Drosophila melanogaster: one gene and its partners. The protein of the gene in region 2 purifies or fractionates together with the protein of the main gene of each other region. This does not show direct contact. Each region holds a gene or a part of one and is shown on either strand. Other genes may lie near its edges.

What was found.
Region 1: the proteins of CG17002 (region 2) and Ptip purify together in Drosophila melanogaster (affinity purification with mass spectrometry, with the first as the bait; one large-scale study listed by BioGRID). This does not show direct contact.
Region 3: the proteins of CG17002 (region 2) and MED25 purify together in Drosophila melanogaster (affinity purification with mass spectrometry, with the first as the bait; one large-scale study listed by BioGRID). This does not show direct contact.
Region 4: the proteins of CG17002 (region 2) and Cpsf6 purify together in Drosophila melanogaster (affinity purification with mass spectrometry, with the first as the bait; one large-scale study listed by BioGRID). This does not show direct contact.

What each region holds. Positions count from the first base shown.
Region 1 is NT_037436.4:14,026,098-14,030,683, reverse strand, and holds the start of Ptip (PAX transcription activation domain interacting protein), read left to right. Parts: upstream 1-1,562; 5' UTR 1,563-1,839; coding exon 1,840-1,914; intron 1,915-2,293; coding exon 2,294-4,586. Other genes in the region: endos (endosulfine), read left to right, coding at 264-437.
Region 2 is NT_033778.4:6,984,274-6,989,435, forward strand, and holds CG17002 (uncharacterized protein), read left to right. Parts: upstream 1-1,769; 5' UTR 1,770-2,071; coding exon 2,072-2,503; intron 2,504-2,560; coding exon 2,561-2,660; intron 2,661-3,364; coding exon 3,365-3,415; intron 3,416-3,507; coding exon 3,508-3,992; intron 3,993-4,297; coding exon 4,298-4,495; 3' UTR 4,496-4,649; downstream 4,650-5,162. Other genes in the region: vimar (visceral mesodermal armadillo-repeats), read right to left, coding at 1,139-1,145.
Region 3 is NT_033777.3:20,007,113-20,012,233, reverse strand, and holds MED25 (mediator complex subunit 25), read right to left. Parts: upstream 3,288-5,121; 5' UTR 3,175-3,287; coding exon 583-3,174; 3' UTR 522-582; downstream 1-521. Other genes in the region: CG17190 (uncharacterized protein), read left to right, coding at 1-354.
Region 4 is NT_037436.4:8,309,970-8,317,153, reverse strand, and holds Cpsf6 (cleavage and polyadenylation specific factor 6), read left to right. Parts: upstream 1-1,651; 5' UTR 1,652-2,016; coding exon 2,017-2,082; intron 2,083-2,477; coding exon 2,478-3,197; intron 3,198-4,002; coding exon 4,003-4,143; intron 4,144-4,403; coding exon 4,404-4,870; intron 4,871-5,080; coding exon 5,081-5,380; intron 5,381-5,438; coding exon 5,439-5,507; intron 5,508-5,927; coding exon 5,928-6,123; 3' UTR 6,124-6,661; downstream 6,662-7,184. UniProt on the Drosophila melanogaster protein: May play a role in pre-mRNA 3'-processing.

The DNA of each region.
Region 1 (4,586 bases), on a different chromosome or scaffold from region 2:
AGTATTTAGTACCCGTTGTTTAAAGGAAAATAACAATTCATGTTTCCTCTATTCTAAGATCCATACTATTTGGCAATTGCTTTCTGAAATCAATGAAACTCAATAATCACAGCGCATAGTTTATATCAACTTGATGATCTGGTAAACGAAATCAGATTGTTACATTAAGTTTGCATTTGGAAGATATCTCCGTTTTAGTTCTAAAAAGCTATTTGATTATATAAGAGAAATCTAATATGTATTCCTTCATATCCTTCCCACAGCAAAAGTTCTTCGACTCGGGCGATTACCAGATGGCCAAGCAGAAGGGTGGCGGCGTCAAGCAGGTCTTTGCCAACAAGGTGACCACCGGGGAGGCCATTCCCACGCCCGAAACCGTGCCGGCGCGCAAGACTTCGATCATCCAACCCTGTAACAAGTTCCCGGCGACGAGCTAATTTACTCACCACTCAACACTCACCTCTACTGTATCCACAACCTCAAGTGCAGCCAGTTCTCCGTTCCCCACTTCAAATGCTCTATACCTAATTTTAATGAAAAACCTAATGCTAAGATGGCTGCTGCCGGATTGTGCGGGCATTTCGCGACAGTTTAAACTGAAATTCTAGCACCATGTTCCGTGTTTCCCCCGTTAAATTCAATCGCCATCCGCACTGGCCAATCAATCTCAAGATCAACTCATCAGTCCATCTCTCAGGCCGGGGAAGCGAAGATGGCGAGCCGAGCAGCGCGAAATTTATTGCAACAGTTATATATATCTCTATCTTTGTAACATTAAACTAACTTACCCTCGTCGTACATAGTTGTAAGTATTACGAGCATAATAAATTTAAGTTGGAGCAGCCAGCCACACACACACACACGTTCTCGTACATTACTGGGATTCCATCAAAAGTTTTTAAAAGTTCACCATGTTCTATGGAAAATGTTTTTATATTTTTTTTTTTGCATTCATTCTATAAGCAGTTGACGGAATTTCACCAACTAATTGATAATAACATAGGTACTGCTGCTTGCAGAGCTAAATTTTTGATGCAAAAACCAAACAGTCGAGTTAAAATGAATTTGTAAATCAAGCAGAGCTAAAATAAATGTATGTACGTATACTTATAAATGTGTTGATTTCCTGGGGCGCTAACCCAACAACTGAATCGGAAATGTGCCATACAAATGTTTACTTAAATTATAAGTGCCCGGAGTGGAGTCTAATTAACTAGGAAACGTTCCTTCGAGCGGTGTGGTATGGTAATTGGTTGTTCAAATTGGACGGGAACGAAATGAAATCACCAAAATAGGTGGGAAATACACAATATTTAATACAAATAGATGGGTTCATATATTTTCATACGAACATCGTGTTTTAGTTAAAAGTTAATCGAACTTGCAAAGTGAGTTTTAGGCCCAATTAAAAAAGTTTTAACCAATAAAATCGCTTTTTGGACCACAGTACAAATGAAATCAATCAAATATCCAAGTTTTCCACCAATCGATACCAGCAGATTAAGCATCCATATTGCCACACTTCTGGAACTATCGATAGTATCGCATAAACAGTGTTTTGTACCAACTCTAGGCGGAAGGCGCAGCGGTGATAAAAGAGAAAAAGTGATCTTTAAATGCAATTTTTCGGTTCCAAATTGCATTTGTTATGTGCTACGCGATAAGCACCGCATCGCACACCGTTTTTCGAAGTTCGCAAATGGCCAAGATCAGCGGAAAGACGAGAAAACACGCTGCAATGTAGATGCCCACGAGCAGCCGCGGCAGCAGCAATAACAAAAGCAAAAGTGAAATTAGCGCCGCCAGAGAAGTGCAAGTGGTCAAACAAACGGCGGCGCCATGGAGAACCTCAAGATAAGCGACAAACTGTTCGAGGATGTGATATACTTTGTGCTGGGAAATCTGGACGAGGAGGTAAAAAGCTGCAAAGCGAATCTTTCGTTTGCTGTTGCTGTACTTGCATTGTGCGTACGTGTGTGTGTGTTTGTGTGAGCGGGTGTGCGTGCGTCTCACAGGGTGGGTTGGAGCGCGGGCGGACAGGGTAACCCGGGCACCTTGGCAAATGCGCGCCATAAAAGTTGCCGGCAAATTGCCGTGTTTGTGTGTTTGTGTACTGGAGTTTGTATTGGTGCTAAATCAACTGATTTTTGTTTTGGTTCTCCTCTACCAACGGAAGCAACATATTTGGCACCCTTGAAAAAAGAATTCTTATTTGGTCACATACATATATCTTTTATATATACTGTTTAAATCAAGTAATGTAATAAATAATTATTATGCCTTTGCCTTGCAGATCGAACGCTTTCTTAAGAGCGGTGGCGCTCAATCGAAACTGTTCCTGTCGGACCAAATCACCCACATGATATGCGCCACCAACTACAACGAGGAGGAGCTGTCCATGAACCTGGACCTCTACAGTGCAATTCCCGTAACGGAGCAATGGATCGTGCACAGCGCCAAGCTAGGCCGAATGGCCTCGACACGGGCTTTCGACCCGAGTCCGAATCAAATGCGGTTGATGCGCGGCATTCGGGTGGCCATCACCAATGTAGTGGCAGGGGATCGAAGGCGTCTTTACGCCATGCTGACATACCACGGTGCCGTAGTCACGCACAGCTTTGGGGCCACCAACACGCATCTGGTGTGCGGTGCAGCCAACGGTGGCATCTACAACAAGGCGCTGGCCCTGCCCAAGAATGCCATCATTATTGTGACGCCCGACTGGGTGACAGATAGCCTTAAGTACAAAAACTGCATGCCCGTGGAGACGTATCATCCGAGACTGCTGAAGCCCATTGAAAAGCAGCGAACACAAAAGCAGCAGGCTACGCAGCAGCAACAAATTCAGCAGCAGCAGCAATTGCAGCACCAACACCAGATGCAGCAACAACAGCAGCAGCAGCAGCAGCAGCAACAACAACAACAACAACAACAACAACAACAACAACAACAACAACAACAACAGCAGCAGCAGCAGCAGCAGCAACATCAACAGCAGATTATCCAGCAACAGGCAACGGCTACTTCTGCCCTATCTGACATCCTTGGCTTTGGCGAGGACAGCGTAGCTGCCAAGAGCATCGCTAGCATTAAGTCTCAGCTGCAGGCTTCAGCTGAACAAATACAGCAGCAACAGCTGCCCGTACCCGCACAGCAGCAGGTGGTCTTTGTGCGCCCACAGCCACAACCCCAACAGCCAGCACAACAATCCCCTCACCAGTTACAGCAAGGTGGTCCTCAAGCACCTACTCCTGCACCACACCCGCAGCATCAACAACAATTAATAATTCAGCAGCAGAAGATTATCCCCGCCAACCTGCAGCAGCAACCACAAAACCAGCAGCAAATCAAAAATATCCTACAGCAGAGACAAATGAAAACAACGCAGCAGTCTCAGCAACAGCAACAAATCCAAATGCAACTAATGCAGCAGGAGCAACAGCCGCATCCTCAACCACTTCAACAGCAGCTTGCGCAACAACACCCGCAACAAATCGCACAGCAACTTCCACAGCAACTTTCTCAACAACATCCACAACAAATTCCTCAGCAACAGCAGTCGCCCCGACTGCCAACGACTCCAACAGGCCGGCAGACACCACGTACACCATCTACAACGCCGCAGCCCGTGCAATCCCCTCAGCACCACCAGCAGATAGTTCAACAGCAACAGGTGGTGCAGCAACAAGTGGGCCAGCAGCAAACGATGGTACAGCAGCAGCAGATAGTTCAGCAACAGCAAATTGTTCAGCAGCAAGTTGTTCAGCAACAGCAGCCACAACAACAATCTGTGCCGGTTTCGCCGCAAATCATACACCAACATCTAATGCGGCAGCAACAAATTTTGAACCAGAATCAAATGCAATTGCAGCAAATCGTGCAAAGCGGACAAGCATTGACGCCGCAACAGCAGCAGCAACAGAGACAAATTCAACAACAGCTGCAACAAGTTATGCAGCAGCAGCAGCAATTACAGATGCAAATGCAGCAGCAACAACAGCAACAGAATCTACAACAACAACAGTCGCCTCGGATGGTGCAAAACCGTTCGCCGGTAATGCCACCAAGTACGCCATCCCCATCGTTGCAGCAACAGCAGCATCATGCAACTAGCAATATGTTGCCGCCACAATCGCCGCGACAACTGCAATCCCCAGCTCCCCAAATGACTCCGCCACCTCCGCCCTCGCCGCAAAACGCCCAGCAACAACATTTGCGCCAGCAACAGCAAATGCAACAGAATCGACAACAGCACATGATGGGCTCGCCACAACAACCTCAACCACAATCTATGATGTCGCCGCAACAGCAGCAACAGATGCAGCCCTTTCAACAGCCCGTCCATCAACAGCAGCGCATGCAATTGCAGCAGCAACAACAATTGGCCCAACAGCAGCAACAACAGCAACAGCAGAGTCCCCAGCATATTTCTCCGCAATCGCCCCAGATTTCTCAAACTCCACCCATGCAGGCAAAGCTGCATCAGCATCAGGTGGTTCCTGGACAAGCCACTCAGCCGCAGCAATCATTCTCCCAGCAGAAGCCTATCGACCCAACGGACCCCGTTCAGGTAGCTCAAGTGCTCA
Region 2 (5,162 bases):
CCCTCCTGAAAAAGGGGAAGTTTCGAGGCCGGGATTGCCGGCGCGTTCAAGTGCTGTTTGTTGTCGTTCTGCACAGGTTCCCCTCGGGAAAGGGTATACAAACAGTACAGTCTGTGGCCAGTGTTTATGTATGTGTTGATTCGGTGCAGTCACGTTTGAAAACTAAGAAGTTTAGAGACTTGTTTACGTTTAACAATTCTCATCGGTGACTGACCCAAATATAACACATCCAGTGCGTACGTTACACATCCAACTACACTGAGAAACACAAGAAAAAAAGGGGTTTCTTTTAGTTAGTCACAGCTTTATCTTGACAATGACTGCGCTTTGACTGCAAAGTAGTATCGAATTTTAAGCCCTTTTAAGCTTAATCTGTGAAGATTGTCCTAATTGTAATGTTTATCAACAATTCAACAAAGTTGCCATAGATTTCTCACTGTGCATGACTTCATCGTTTTGTTTGCTATATCACCCCCCGTGGGGATAAAACGAATTGTGAGGACTGCGGGGAGTGTTGCGACACGCCGGTAAACCTGGCACCTCGCAGGAGGCATATTCTCATTTATTAATGCGTCGTCACTGCTGTTCCCAGTTCCCATTCCTATTCCTCCTGTGCTGCGGTGGAGTGGGCGGCTCGGGTGGCGGGTTCGTGCAAAACGGTGGTGGCCGCTGTCTCAGCCGCACTTAATTCCCGCCAGAACTGCCGGGGCCATTAAAGGATAAAAGAGCGGGATTTCTGATTGGGAAGCGCTGACCCTGTTGGCCGCGATAAGTGGGTGCGCACAGCAGCAGGAGCACGGCATCTGCCTAATCCGACCGGCCCACTGTGCAGTGGGATGGGGAGTGGGGAGCATAAGTATTGATTTTTCTCACATGTCCCCGGCAAACACACACATCTTGTCTAGGGAGCCGCATCGCCCGCCCCCACCCCACTGCCCCTGCTCGGAGCAACTTCCTCCGACACCTGGCAGCGATTTGGAAGTTTTCGCAGCTCGTAAATGCTGCACTGCAGCCATAAAACGGCCGCTGCAATGACTCGCATGAATTGCGTTTGTTTATGCTATGGAAAAGGAATCCGGGGTCTGCTGTATGTCGTTTGGGATGCTCCATAGGCAGAGAAATGCTCGATGTTACTCACTCGCCATGTTTGCCGCCTTTGTTGATTATTCCGCTGCTGCTTCTTCCGTTTTTATGCTTTTCTGCTTTTCTTGCTCTGCGTTGGTTGCGATTCCAGGCACGTTGTATCACTGTTAGCTTGTAACAAACACTGCTGATAGGCTAATGACTGCTGCGCGCAACTGAACACATTTCACGGCTTTCTTTCAGTCGCGTCTCCGTTCAACTTCCGCAATATCCGTATAATTCGTATTATCCGTGTAATCCGTATTTTCCGAATCGCGTTCAGACGTTCACACCAACAACTGCAATTCTAGTGTGACCGCAGAGCTCGAGCTGCACGATACCTCCAATGAGAGATGCCATATCGATGCTTACGCATTTTATTAACATCGATAGACATTTCTAGAATGTCTAGACTTTAATGCTTGGATTTTCCAAAAACTATAATCTGTTTCCAAAAAGTTATCGATAAGTATCGATCAGTGTTGAAACTATTTGTATTTTATATTAAATTCTGGGGTGTGACTAGTAATATTAGGAATATAAGCTTTAAAGAAAAAATCGAATTCTTTATAAGTGATTTAGTTCGAACGTTAACTTAAGATTTGCCACCACAATCGGAAAGTAGCTATTTTCTAGCTAGCTTTGCCCATTAATCGATTGGTGGCAACACTGGTCGGCACATCCCACTCACTCAACAAATTGTTTACCACAAAAAACCGTGCTGAAAGTGAACGAAAATAAAGTGCAGCCCGGCGTCGAGCATTTGCAGTGATCCCAAGACGCCCAACCATTGATTCCCGTAGCGGTGTCCACCCGGATTCCAGCCCACCGCCACCAGCACGCCATTCCATTTGGGGAGCCTCTCGGTCGGTTCGGTCAAACAGTCGCGATTGCCCGGTCGTCCACGAACGCTTATAAAATTGGCAAGATAACTAAGCAGAGCACAAAGATGCCGCCAGCATCAGCGGTAAACAACAGCAACGCGGCCGCCCAGGCGGCGAAGGCCGAGCGGGCGGAGAAGCTGCGCGGGGCACTGAAGGGCTTCATCGTGGCGGACCGCCAGCGGCGCCAGGAGGAGTTCGAGGCTCAGTGCGAGGAGCAGCGGCTGCGACGGGAGCGCGAGGAGGTGGAGCGCCAGAACCAGGTGGCCCTGGATGACACACGCGGCCAGATAACCCGACTGGACGAGCAGCTGGCCGATCTGCACAGCCAGAAGCATCAGCTGACCGTCCAACTCAAGAAGGTGCTCAACGAGGACGAAACGCGCAAGAAGCTGGCCAAGGAGAACGAACTGTTCGCCATCCAGCAGGCGGCGGCCAGTAGCCCGGTCTTCCTGCCGCCCCTGCGCCTCCAACACCAGCACCATACGCTGATGCAGAAGGTCTCGACTGCGCAATTGTGGGATTCAGGTTCTAATGGTCCTCTTTTTTCCTCGCAGCTCCCGTCCGGCGGACAGCCAGGAAAACGTGGCAGGAGTCCATCGCCGCCGAGTCAGCAGCAGGCTTACTACAAGAGCGCCGCCAGCTACGCCCAGCAGAGTAAGCCAGGAAGAGGTCGACAATGTGGTCCCTGGGCCTCCGATACAGTGAACGCTGCCTCAGGCAGGCAGTCCAAAGTCTCATGCACGCAATTTCGGTTGGATTTTGTTAACTCGAATGCGGGATCTGCTCATAATTTGATTAGTCATTGAATTGGTTAGCACATATGTATGGTTCTTGATTTGGACGAGAGATATACGTGATTTTTGTGATGTCATCATCTCTACATTCTGATTGCCAAGCCCTTTTTTAAGCTCTATGAAATATTAGCACTAATATCAATTGAACTTCTAATTAGGAATGATTGCAAAAACATGGTTAAGTGTTAAGTAAATAATCAATTCGATATAAAGAAAGTTTCGTGCTGTTTAGGCTTTGTATTGGATGGTTTAGTTTAATGTGTTTTAATGTGCACAAAAATTACCCTATTATTTTGAAGGATATATAGTGTAGAAACGATATATATAGGGTTTCTAGCAGATAGCTCGAGTTTTAAAATTCAACTGCAAATTGGCATTGGCTAAAGGTGCGATACAATCACCGATTGATCTGTTCTGCGGAGCTTTCGCTGTTCTTCTTGATTAACTGCTCGCTAACACTCCGTCCCGTTCATGAGAAATCCATTTCACTGCGCACACTAACCTCTAACAACACAGGCACACAACTTATGTTCATTTCGTTATTTGTTTACGATCGATTCGCAGAACACGATGACTACCGTCGTGCCGCTGACTATGCTAGATTATCATGGAACAGTAAGCACCTCACTTGCAATACCAAGCCCGAGATCCTCCGTCGGAACGATCGCCAGATTCGTCAATTAAACCTCACTTTTCCTCTCTTCCAGAAACAGCGGCACAGTATCCGGGCACGGGAACGGTCTTCTACCAGACGGTCGCTCCTCCGCCGACGACACAGCACCAGGCGGACGCCCGCTTGCAGTCCATCTACAACTACAACCTTCCGTTGCGCCAGGCCTACCACGTGGACCTGCCCAGCGCCACGGTCAGCAAGCCGCCCGACTCGCAGTCGCCCAAGGCACCGTCGCAGTCGCAGCCCATGCAAGTGCTTCACATCAACCTCGACCAGCCGACCATTTCGCAGGCAGACCTGGTGGCTCAAGCCGGCGGCAGCCTCTCGGTAAAGGCCTCCCAGCCACACGTGACTATGGAGAAGCTACCGGACCGCTACCACATCGAGGTGAAGCACGACGGCCAGCCGCCGAGCCACGTCCCGCCTCCGCCACACCTGCTGCCGGAGGGCGTCATCTTCAAGCCGCTGCTCAACGAACTCTCATTGCACAGCAACGTGCTGCAGATAAGCAGCAGCCAGGTGGGTCTCATTCTCAACATTTGTGGTTAATTAGCCGTGGCAGTGTCTTAGAATTTACAACTTAGAACAAACAAGTTAGATTTACATCTTCGAAATCGAAGTTCAACGATTAGGCTCTGCGAAAATGGTTTTTAAAGCCTGAGCATCTTGAATAAGAGCTGTTTTCTATAAAACAAATTCATTGTTGCAGGTTTTCATGTTTTCATAGGAAAACGCATTAGAACCAACTTCCCAACTACTGATTAACATGTTTGATATCATTTACAAGGAAGAACTAAATATTCACTTGACTAACGCCTGGCCAGTTTCCTCCACAGAATCCGAAAACAGCGGGAAGCATCACACAGGGCTATGCCCCTGGACGAGGTGGATCCGCCCACGAGCAGCAGTTGGCTCGGCAACAGCTGGCGATGCTGCCTGGCCAGCCGGGAGCACCGTCCGGATCCGGCTCCGCCCAGCCGCCTCCTGGTCAGCAGATGCATTACACGCGGCGATTGTACTAGCCTCTAACCCCTAACCCCTTTTGTCGCTACGGAACTCGCTAACTGATATACTTACGATTTTAAATAGACATTACAACACTGACTACGCTTCCCACGTGAAGTCGGATAAACGAAATAAAGCACACAACTATGGCGTCCCTATTTTCCAATCGACAATACCATACTGATATTTGATATTGATTTGATATTTGGTATCAATGGGCTTCTGTGGTTCTGTGGTTATACCATAATAACTTTGAGGTATCGTAGTTCTAATCACCAACAGGCAAATTGATCTAACTCGAAAGAGTTTTTGAAATTCTGGGCAATAGAAATTGGATCATGTATACATATAAAAAATGACTATTATATAAAATGGTATGTACAGCTGTGTTCAGAAAAATAGCAGTGCGAGGAATACTAATTAATACAAAGGTATTTTTCCATGTCCCTTTTCGGAATTGACTTTTTATTCCACTTATTTTTGTTAAATGGAATGTGTATATAGGGAAAAAAAGAAAATCCGGTTAGTTTTTCATGTTATCCTTTTTTTATTTACTTTCTTAAGCGAAATCACAACTTTTAGGCTGTTCATAAGAATAGCAGTGTCTGGTTTTGACCAACGTAAAGTCAGGAAATGATCAATATTTTTAAAAAGTGAGTTTGATTAATTCGTACATTTAAAAGG
Region 3 (5,121 bases), on a different chromosome or scaffold from region 2:
CATCGCATTAAGCTAAATATTCCGGTCCTGGAGCCGGTGAAGCACCTGATAAACACAGTTGGCGGTGGCGGCGTGAACGACTCCCATGTGAAGAGCAATACTCATCGGCTGATTGGACACCATGGCGTCCACGAAACTCACCACAATGGCGGGAACATCAGCTCCCCGGCCATCGAAACGGAGGAGGATCGGGAGACAGCCATCGACAGCACCGGATTCGATGTTCTGGAAACGTTGGGCAGCGCGGGAACGGTTCTGTTCAGCATCTTGCAGAATCTTCGCAAGGTGTTTGCCGCTAGCGCTGGAAGTGCAAGTTCCGCATCCTCGGGGGGCGGCGGCGGTGGAGCAAACTAGTGGACTTTCTCGGAGATTATGTTCTGTGATTAATATAAGTCTTGTGCAAATTCGGATTTCCCTTGATTCTTACTAATTAAATAAACGAAATGTTATGAAAATGGAGAAATTAATATTTCGATTTTGGGAAATAGATTTTGCCACTACCCCAAAAAAGACTTGCAGTTGGATTTTATAAAATATTTTACTGTCTTAATTCTGGTTTTTTATACGATACTCTTAAGTAGCCTACATGAACTCATAGTTTCCGTCGTCAAAGTTGCGATTGCCGACCATTGGACCGCCTGCTCCCATTTGATTGGGATTCTGGCCACCCATTTGCGGCCGGAACTGATTGCCTGGCGTGGTCTGGTGCTGCAAGAGCTGGCGCAGCCCCGGGTTGTTGTTGCTCATCATGGGACGCACCATGCGCTGCTGCTGCTGTTGCGCCTGCTGCTGCTGCATTGCGGCGACGTTTGGCGCCACTTGTTGCAACTGCTGCTGGAGGTTTGGATTGGGCACGCCACCGGGACCAACACCCACGCCAACACCTACGCCCAGTGGCATTCGCTGTTGCTGCATCATGTTCATCTGCATTTGATTCTGTTGCATGGGCATGCCGCCGGGACCGGGACCAGGTCCGCCGCCAGGACCTCCACCACCCATCTGCATATTGAGTTGGAACTGGTTGTAGTGTTGCTGCTGCGAGTTATCCTGTTGCATCTGTTGCTGCTGTTGTTGTTGTTGCTGTTGCTGCTGCAGCTCCATGGGCGACTTGCCTTGCTGCTGCATCATTTGCTGCTGTTGCTGCTGCTGTTGCATGTTGCCGTGCTGCTTTTGCTGTATGACTTTGCGCAGACGTTCCACAAACATTGCCTGATTATTGGGAATGAAGCCCAGAAAAGCGTTGCGATCGGGCGTGTAGAGTAGGATGAGAACCTTAAGGTCACAGGCTGGTGAGTTGGGGATGGAGGAGAAGTGGACGCAGCCAGCATAGCCGGAGGTCATCATCTTGGCCAGCGAATCGAGTGCCTCTCCTGGAGTGGGTCGAAAAACAACCATTTTCGAGTCCTTGAGAAACTGCCCACCAATATTGCCAACTAGGTGCTTGGGCATTAGCTGCATCAACAGCTTGGGCGGCCAGTTCTCAGCCTTGATCTCGGGCTCGCCATCTTTGATGTTGGTGCACACGGTACACTGGAGTGTATGGGGAATCTTCTGTTGATCGGACTTTGGCTTCTCTGACCACTCCAGCACTCCGGTCCATATCTTTTCCCTCAAGGAGGCCTGCTCCTGCTGCGAATTTCCCTGCTGTTGCTGCTGCGGATTGCCCTGCTGCTGCGGATTCGACTGTTGTCCTACTTGTTGTTGCTGCTGCTGCGGATTAGACATGTTGCCGGCATTGCTAGCCGGCATCATATTGTTTCCTGCATTGGGATTTACCTGCTGCTGTTGCTGTCCTTGCTGCTGCTGTTGCTGTTGCTGGGCCAGTTGCTGTTGCTGCTGCAACTGCTGGTGATTTAGCATCTGCTGCTGGCTCAGCATCTGCATCCTTTGTTGCTGCTGCTGTTGGGCCTGTTGTTGCTGCTGCTGCTGCTGCTGCGCCTGCTGCTGTTGCTGCTGCTGCAGCGAGGTCACAGTTTGGTTCGGCGGCGGCGCATTAATGCGCGATATCAGAGCAGAATTTGGATTCTGTTGCATGCCGCCGCCTTGGCCCACACCGCCCACATTGCCTGCTCCCTGCATGAAGGGCGGACGCGCCTGACCAGGCTGGTTGGGATACATCCAGCGGTTTTGGCCGGGTCCCACGTTTTGCTGGAAGTTCTGATTCTGCATTTGATTGGAAACGAATTGATTCTGCTGCTGCTGCTGCAATAGTTGCTGCTGCTGCTGTGGATTGAGTAAGCCCGCTGGGGGATTTGGACCGGGCTGCTGTTGCTGCATCGTGTTCATGTTCATGACCTGCTGCTGAGGATTGCCTTGTTGTTGCTGTTGCTGCTGCTGTTGTTGTTGCTGTTGCTGCTGCTGGGCTGGAGTGGTGTCCATGGGCATGCCCTGCCCTTGTTGTTGCTGACCAGCTTGATTTTGTTGCTGTTGTTGTTGCTGCTGCACTGTAGCCTGTGCCGCATTGGGTGCAGCCATTTGGGCCGCCATGCTGTTGGGACTAGGTGCTCTCTCCTTGAGGCTGTATCCCTTTAGAAGCACTAGGTGTCTTATGTTCTTGGCATAGTTTTTGCTCGTAATGGGCTGATCTCCGTCGGCCTTCATGAAAAGTTTGAACAACACCGGCATCTTGCGTGGCGCAATAATGGAGAGATTGATTTTGCGCTCGTTGAAGAGCGCCGCCAGCTGCTCACATGATTTGCCCGGATACTTCCACGACTCCGTTGTGGGCATCTGGTACGGCGGACTGTTGCAGATGAGAATGCAGTGCCTCTGGACGCTGGTCTGATCGAGCAACTGGCGCCTTTCGCTGATGTCATCAAAACAGCCGTGGGCCGCAGCAAATCCTTCGGCCATGTGGGCACAGGACTCCATTCCGCCTCCCACTAGTGGCAATCTTTCGATCGTCTCCATCACTTTTTGGGGCTGCAGAAAGGGACCATAGGTTGAACAAACTGGCTCCAGCAGATTGGCCGCTGTACGGTAGACCACAATACCGTACAGAGTGGCAAAGCGCTCCGCAATCAGGTATTCCCGCTCGTCGATGGAGCCAGTGGTGAAGTGCTCCAAAGTCGGCAGGATGTAGTTGGTCTTTAGTTCGTTGATGTAGGCTCCGTTGATGGCGCTGCCCTCGATGACGAAGACCACGTCGGCCAGGGGAATCTGGTCCACCTCCATTGGACGATGGGAGTTGGCTTTAAGTTGAAAAACTTGTTGCAAAAAATGTAAACTATGTTGTCTGCTTTACACCGCTCTTTTACTTTTTTCGTTTGTTTTGCATATCGCTCTGCTGCTATCGATAGTCAACTTATGGTTATCGCTCAGCGATTGCTAGGGCTGCAAAATAAATGAATATTCAAAAGTGCCCATAAAGTTGGATTTAAGAATATGCAGATTGCCTTGAAAACTTGTTTCTATTGAATTCTTTTTCTATTTTCACAAATAAAAAAACGTTTGGTGTTTATCTAATTAACTTAAAATTGAATATTGCATACAAAAGATAACTATAAATAAGATATTACGATGTTTTATGTTAGGTATCATAATTATAGTTGTTTTATGTATGTATTTTCAATGGAACTATAAAGTTAATTCTTTAAATATTCGTTACCAATAGTTTATATCGATGGTTGCAAGTGCTGCCAGACTCTCGCAGCGAGTTTCCGTTCGGCAGTCTGGCAGCGCGGTCAGCTGTTCCTATTGCCCAACTTGCGCAGTTCGTTTTGTTCAGTTCATTCGCCGATTTTGAAGAATGCGGACGTTGACGCTGGTACCGCGTCGTTTTGCCAAAATAATTCGTAAAAAATATACGCAAAACGCTTAGAAAGTGTCAATTAACTAAACATTAGCTATTGAGCAGTGCAAGTGCAGGAAAAACGATCGCAGAAATAGCCGAAAACACATGAAAGTGCGAATTGCGGGCTTTTTTGTGGCTGGCACAGAATGTGTGGCACAAAGCGGAAAGCGCGCTAATTGAGCGTGCGAGCGCCTGAAACGCAGAGAAATGTAAATAAATAAACGTGTGACGCCGCGACAATTGTGAAAAGTGCACAAACACGACGTTTGGCAAGTGAAAAGTGAGTGAAATCTAGATAAATTTCATTAAATTGCCCATTTCGCATCTGGCAAGAAGAACAGCTGTTGTTTGGCATCTCGCTCTGTCTGGTTGTCCTCTCTCTTATTTTGCCCTCTCTCTGTTTTTGTTGCTCCCCTTTGCTTCTGTTTTTTTTTACTGCAATGTTGCTAAATCGTTTGATTCTATTATTATAATTATACTCCTTGCCCTGACGTCACTGCCTCGAAAAACCTGATAATTTGGGTAGGCAATTAGCATGGTTTAAGTATAGTTTAGAGTACAGAGAAGTGAATTAAACGGCCATGTGTGCACAGCATGCATGCTTTTTTGTTATTGTTGCCTGGCAACATGTTTCGCCACATCTGCCTTTTTTTTCTTGTCTCTCTGTTAGTCCAATTTGCCAATAAGCAACTTTTCCATTTGTTTACAATAATTGTGATCGCTACAGAAGCACCGATCGTGAAGTAAAAAGCGCCTACATAAATATAAGGCACCAGTTATGCTTGGGCGTCACTCCGACTGCCGATCGCCAGTTATTTTAGTTGGGTGTTTGTACATTTAAATACCCTACCTAAATGCAACTTACTCGCATGTAGTCAATATCATTCAAACCCTAATATGTTACGCATTTTCCAATCGGGTTTATCACATATAAACAATATCGAAGCCAGATAAAGCGACTTGTGATAATAATCACCCATACAACAAAGGCTGTTCATTCATTATATTTACCATATTATTGATAACTATTTTTATAACTGAACTACAATATGTTCTTATAAATAAAGAATCACTAGATAATTTAAATATTAAATGAAATAAGTACAAACTATTTTTTAACTATAATAAGTTATTATTTGAGTAATTGCACGTATTATCATGTACGGATGTAGGTTTTTTGCTTTAAATAATAAACGTATTTAAACGTATTTTTAATTGATTAAGGGTATACTAAATGCATTGCTTTCGGCTCCGCCATTCACTTTCCACTATTGCGTCATTATTGGTTGATTTATGTATTTTATCGTTACGCTATACATTTGCAGATC
Region 4 (7,184 bases), on a different chromosome or scaffold from region 2:
GCACTTTGTTAGGCTGCGGCGCCGCTTTTTGATAAAGTATCCCAGCCAATGGTCACGCAATAAATTTTTGACATGACTTACGCACGTCCGAAATGGTCGATGGGGGGCAATTGATATGAGTGGTAGCCATTATGTAGATCTAAGTGATCGGAAACATTCAATAACACTTATACGACTTTTATGATAGCCAGCCAAAGGCCACACGGCGTATGCGCAATATTTTCATAGCAATTGATTTTTATCCTATTATTGTTGGTTATTTTAAAAGCGTGCAGTATATTTAAGATAAATACTACGTGCGTAAGTCTCCTCCCCTTCAATGTTGCACCTTTGAGCCCCAATTCTGTCCCAAAAATGTCAGCGATTAGCCGAGAATTTCAATTGACTGCACCCTCGCCACCAACATCCGTCGATTTCCATCTGCGTGATTGCTCTTGAAGAACCGCCCACCTTGAATTGGAAACACATTTCCACATATGCAAATCGCGAAAATCCAATCTGCAATAGCTTTATTCGCTGAAGCATTTAAAAATCGATTGATTGCTGTAAAGATCGTAATTACCCATTTAATTACTCTTGTTAATTAAACACACAATCGCATGAGGCGAGAGCAGCAAATATAATTGCCGTCCGTTCAGATTGGACGATAAAAGCCAGTGGTAATTGACATTTAAGGCAATTCATTAACGCAACTAACATATGGGAGTCAAAGAGCCAAAGTTAAAAACTAAATACCAACAGGTGGACTACTGCCCAAATACGAGAAGAAAAATGAAAAAACATCAGATACACGAATAACATGGCTAATCATGCACTAGATTTCGGGATATGTGTCTTTTTTTTCACAGGCCCGACTAAAAAATGCTGCCTCGGTTTTTTTTTCCCCCAATTTTTCACCGCGCATTTGCATACGAGTGGCCAAGTCGACGGCGCCACAATCTCCTCGGTTCCCAGCCACCAGCAAGTTCGAAGATTTCGGAGAGCCGAGTTGTTAGCGGCAATTATTGTAACCTGCAGACGGGCCGCATAAATCAGCTTAATTGCTATATTTAAATTCTAAATTTGGAGCTCTGGCCAAGTGCGCTGTCTAGTTGTGCAAGTGACACGGTCAGCGTCTATTTGGACCTGCAAATCTAATATATGCATGGCTATAGTTTTTGGGCAGCATTAACAATTTATGCAAATTAATGTGTGTGTGATGGTGGTCCCCTAAAAAGGCAAATTTATTAGAAGTATGCATATTTAAATTAAGATATGCCTGTTATGGGTGTTGTAATGAATGTTAAGTATTTTCACATGTCGATTTTTAATAACAAAGAACCTAATGAACTTATTACACATTTCAAGAAAGTTCTAACGGTTGGTTTTAAAATTCAAAATTCGATAGAAGTCGATATATTTTCAATGGTTTGTGTCCACGCTACGACCACAGTCAAATTGGAAATTGATGTCAAGTATTTGTGATTATTTTATGGTAATAATAAAGCGATTTAGGTAACAAACACATCTAATTAAATTCTATTCATTAAATATATTTTATCGTAGTTGTATTCTCATTAACTGTCAAATTGCGGAATACCCCAAACAGGATGTGGTATTTTCTAGTATGCGAGCAAAAATATACCGCATAGGTTTTCCACATTTCAGCTTTACAGTCACACTGCACCGCTCCGCCATTTTACGCTGACAATTTTTTCGCAAGATTGAAGAAACTAGTTCGTGCACGAGTAGAATGTAAATAGTTACAGAATTCACCCAACGGAAAACAACGCGCCAAAGCAATTAATCAATTAATTGTGCAGCGGGCGCGATTACCCGGCTAAATCGCGCAGCAGCACGCCGGTTTCTGCTCCGGCTTCCCCCTCCCCCGCAAAAAAAAAGAAACTGTACGAGGCGCGAGTGCAAGTGGGACAGAGACGGAAAGATTGGCGAGTGTCTTAGTGTGCGTGCGAAAATTGGGAAAAGCGGTGAAAAATCAGTAATTACGCCTAGGAATAGCAACTTTTCCGGCTCAACATGGCCGACGTGGTCTTGGATCTGTACGCGGAGGACCTCGACAAGGACTTTGCCGGGCAGGCTCAGGTAAGCCATGGGAAAAAGGCAGTCGCTCTGCAAGCCGCGTGTGTATGTATACAGTAGGGTGGATCGATGTCCGAAAGAATTGCGTTAGGGGGTAGAACGGCGTCTTGGGCGAACTCGACCACTTGGTACCTTGTAAAGTAGGGTTCTAGGAACTGAGTGCAGGGATATTATATTTATATAAAAATGAAACGTAATTTTTTTTAATTTCTTTAGCCATGGAAATGTAGAGAATTGTACGAATCCCAATAACTATACATTCTAAAAATTCTAAAGTAAAAATAGAGTAAAATCGAATTTGTAAAAAAAACAAGACTTGATCGTTTATTTTTAACGATTTTACGGGATTCCCACAACAGTTTGACCCACTTGTTAATTACTTTGCTTTATCCGCACAGGACGAATTTGGAGGCGATGGAGTAGACCTATACGATGACATAGGCGGTCCCACCGAATCGGCCGCCTCAGGTGGCGGGGGCGGTGGAACGCCCTCCGCAGATGGAGCCGCAGGGCCAGGCTCCGGGGAACCCGGCGAACGGAATTCCGGTGGTCCCAATGGGGTGTACCATCAGAGCAGTGGTAGCCTCACTCCGACCATGAATCGCCGCTACCAGCTTTATGTGGGCAATCTCACATGGTGGACCACTGACCAGGATATCGCCAATTCGCTGCGAGACATTGGCGTGAGTGATCTACAGGAAGTGAAGTTTTTTGAGAACAGGGCCAACGGTCAGTCGAAGGGCTTCAGTGTAATCTCCCTCGGCTCAGAATCTAGCCTGCGCGCCGTGCTCGACCAGCTGCCCAAGAAGGAGATGCACGGCCAAGCGCCGGTGGTCACGTATCCCAGCAAGCAGGCACTCACCCAATTCGAGAGTCTGCAAAAGACGCGTCCAGTGCCGCCGCCGCAGCAGAATGGACCGCCCAGGGGTCCGGCACCACCCAGTATGGGTGGCGGGCCAATGCCCACCGGACATCCAGGAGGACCGCAAGGAGGTGGACCACCGGGACATCCACCGCGCGGGATGAACTCCATCATGCAGCCGGGCCAGTACCGACCGCAGCACATGTCGCAGGTTCCCCAGGTGGGCGGACCCAACTCAGGACCTCCACGAATGCAGGTACACAACCACTGTTTTAGCCCCACATGGCCCCAAGAGGTCTCATCGTTTGTAGAAATATCGCTCGGTTCTAATTTGTTTTGTTTCTACATTCCTACATTATTTCCTATTTCCATCAAAATTGTTCTGAATGCAAAATTTGCTTACTTAGGTAAAATTAGAAACCCTAAATATACGACTTCATGTATAGTTTATAAACGAATATGTTCTACTTCAGTTGTTCGATATTCTTTTGTAAATTAAACGTAGAAACTTAGTTTTACAATTTAGAGAAAACAATAACGACTTTAGATGTGAGATATAAACAATCTGAAATATCCGATCTCTTGTTAGTATTTCATTTGATAATTTATAAACTAAACTAAAGCTGTCGTACAAATTAAGTTTCTAAGAATTTTTATTTATGTCTTTAAGTACTATTCTTATTCTTTACTTCTATTAATTCACAAGTAATTTCAGAGCAATTTTTTGTAGCACTCCTCGGCCTAAGGCAGTTTGTATTCTTTTTACTCCTTTTGTACTCTAGTCATAGACTTTCAACAAAAAAAAGCACATGTAATAAATTAAAATCAAGAGCAGTGCCTTCCTGGTTCCACTCAAATAATATATACTTTTGATTTAATTGCGTTAATGTATTTCCCCCCCTAGTATTTGTAATTGTGTATAATGGCCCGCTATTGTTATACAAAATGTTTATGTATTACGATTTATGTTCTATTCCATGTCTTTGACAACGCTTACGCACACTTCTACCCCACAACAACAACTACTACTTCAATATAAAACGTAATTCGTATTAATATAGCCGCCAATGCATCCGCAAGGCGGGCTCATGGGGAACCAACAGCCGCCACCCCGGTATCCGTCAGCGCAGGGCCAATGGCCAGGTCAGCGGCCAGGCGGGCCGCGACCAGGTCCACCGAACGGACCACCGCAGCGACCAATGGTAACAATCCCCAAAGCACTGAGTCCTCTTTGTATCTATGCCATAATATAATTCTAACGAAGCCAGAGAGAAGGCGAGATAAAGGAAGACTAACCCAACTTAAGTTAACCTTAGTTAACTTAGTCTTAAGCGATGTATTCAGAACATTTTCAGTAATTCCACAGATCAACCCATGCAACACAAACTCATACTATAGCTTAGAAACCGATTCGATCCGATCATTGGGAACAGTAAATAATCTTGTCTCTTCTGCCTTGCAGTTCCAAGGAGGCCCAATGGGCATGCCCGTCAGGGGTCCGGCAGGTCCCGACTGGCGTCGTCCACCCATGCACGGTGGTTTCCCGCCGCAAGGTCCGCCACGTGGCCTTCCCCCAGCACCAGGTCCGGGCGGACCACACGGCGCACCCGCACCCCACGTGAACCCAGCATTCTTTAACCAGCCTGGTGGTCCTGCCCAGCATCCGGGCATGGGTGGCCCGCCCCACGGAGCACCAGGTCCACAGCCAGGCATGAATATGCCACCGCAACAGGGCATGAACATGACGCCACAGCATGGACCGCCACCCCAGTTCGCCCAGCATGGACCACGTGGTCCGTGGCCGCCACCGCAGGGTAAGCCACCAGGTCCCTTCCCCGATCCGCAGCAGATGGGTCCGCAACTGACGGAGGTGGAGTTCGAGGAGGTGATGAGCAGAAATCGCACAGTCAGCAGTTCGGCGATCGCCAGGTGAGTGCAAAGGTTTTTAAAATGTTTTCTTTAACGAGGTCAAAACTTGTAGTTATTATTTAAAAACTAACCCATTCCTAAGTCGAATTCATAGAAAATTCCAATTATTGAAACTATGACTCAGATCCGGTCTAATTAATAAATTATCTAGATAATTAATTACTTTGTTGATCAAATATCAATTCCCTTTTTATGCTAATTTATTTTCAGAGCTGTTTCTGATGCAGCCGCTGGTGAATACTCGAGCGCCATCGAGACACTGGTCACAGCCATTTCACTGATCAAACAGTCCAAGGTAGCGCACGATGAGCGATGCAAAATTCTGATTAGCTCGCTGCAGGACACGTTGCATGGCATCGAGGCCAAGAGCTACAATAGGCGCGAAAGGTCGCGGTCGAGGGAGCGATCTCATCGCAGCCGACAGCGACGTGAGCGTTCCACGTCCAGGTACCGCGAGCGATCTCGGGAGCGGGAACGCGATCGGGATCGTGAGCGTGAACGGGATGGCGGGTAAGTTTTGGTTCTACCATGTGTAAGCCTCACACTTAATTCCGTATTCATTTTCTAGAAGCTACAGAGAGAGGTCTCGCAGTAGAGAACGTGAACGCCAGGCTCCAGATCACTACAGGGATGACAGGTAAAGACGTTCTACTTCTAAAAATTCGCTTCACTGTCTCATTTAAAAGTTGCTGATTAATTAATCATAGTGCTTCATTTAAATAGCATAGAACTCATAATTTATTCACTCGTAAACAGATTTTTTACTTTTGCTGTAAAAACAAGTGTAGATTTGTAAAGTCAGACGAAACTTTATTTTAAAATATTTGGAAAAATGTATAATTTATTAAAAGGTAGTATTTTTAAGGTATAGGCTTTTCAAATTTTTTATTTTCATTAAAAGCTTTCTGTAAAGATGTTAGCTTGAATTGTAACTGTTTAGGCTCATCAGAATATTTTTGCTCTTTTGTGCAACAATATACGGTGACAATTAAGCGAATTATTTTTAAGCTCGAAATGAAAACCTTGCGTTAATTTCAATCCCATAATCCGAAAACAGCCGATCGGTGCGTCCACGAAAGTCGCCGGAACCCGTAGTCGCCGAAGCAGCGGAGGCGCCATCATCGAAGCGCTACTACGAGGATCGGGAAAGGTACCGCTCCTCGGACCGTGAGCGACGCGACCGCGATCGAGACCGCGACCGCGAGCGGGAGCGTGATCGCGACAGGCGTGAGGAGCACCGTTCCCGGCATTGACTGCCGTAAGTGGAAGTTGGAACCATCGCCAGTGGACCCGTAATCAAGTGTAAAGATGCAACACAGATATACTAAACACACTCTATTAACAAACAATAAGCCGCAGCTTGGTGGGATGACAAGCTAGCCACAATTAACAGATTTTCGATTTGTATCTAACATTACCAATACGTAGGATATGAATATGGCAAACAGCATAGTTCTTCTAGACATACTATAATAAGCCGAAATGCTGACAAGATTTTACCAACGACGGACGGGGACTGCCTCTGGATCCATCCAACTTCACATCACAGAATCCTGGCAACATCAAGACCGGCAGACCGAAGTCAGCAGCAGTAGCAGGAGGATCGATGGAGAAGCCAAGGGGACAGTCAGCGTGGGACATTATAGACACTGATGCGCACTGGATCATCAAACAACAAACAACTAGCATTCCTGCACCGCCGTCTTCGCAGCAGAATTTCAATATTATTGTACTCTAAAATTTCGGTTTATTTAATAAAACATAAACGTATGAAAAAAAGAATTGTTCCAGAAAAAACCTTTACCAAAACTGTCTTGTATTGTGTGTCTTCTTGTACTCTTATTATATAAAAAAAAAAACATCTTATTAGTTAATGACTTTATAATTGTACAACAAAATTGTATGTAAAAATTACAAAATTATTGCACTTGTGCGTGCAATTAATATGGAAATTGTTATATTAACAAAATCATTTTGCCGACTGAGGCCGAAAATCGTTATCCCTAATGTATTTTCAAATATTTCGCGATCTTTTGTTGTAAACATTCTCCACGCATTTGTTTAATCTTGTTTTTATTTAACAATTAAACTTAAGTCGATCATAATTGTGTGCTTGAGACTGAGTGTGAGTGAATTTTTGTAGCATTCAAATGCCGACTGAATCCATCCGCATAAACGGATGGAGAAAACCATATGTTTGTATAGAATAAGTCGAGTGTGTGCTTTTAGCCCAAATACCATGATTTTTAGACTAAATTACTCTAAAAGAGAAACGTCCCAATCGCATTTATCGTAGTTAACTATACTAACGTTA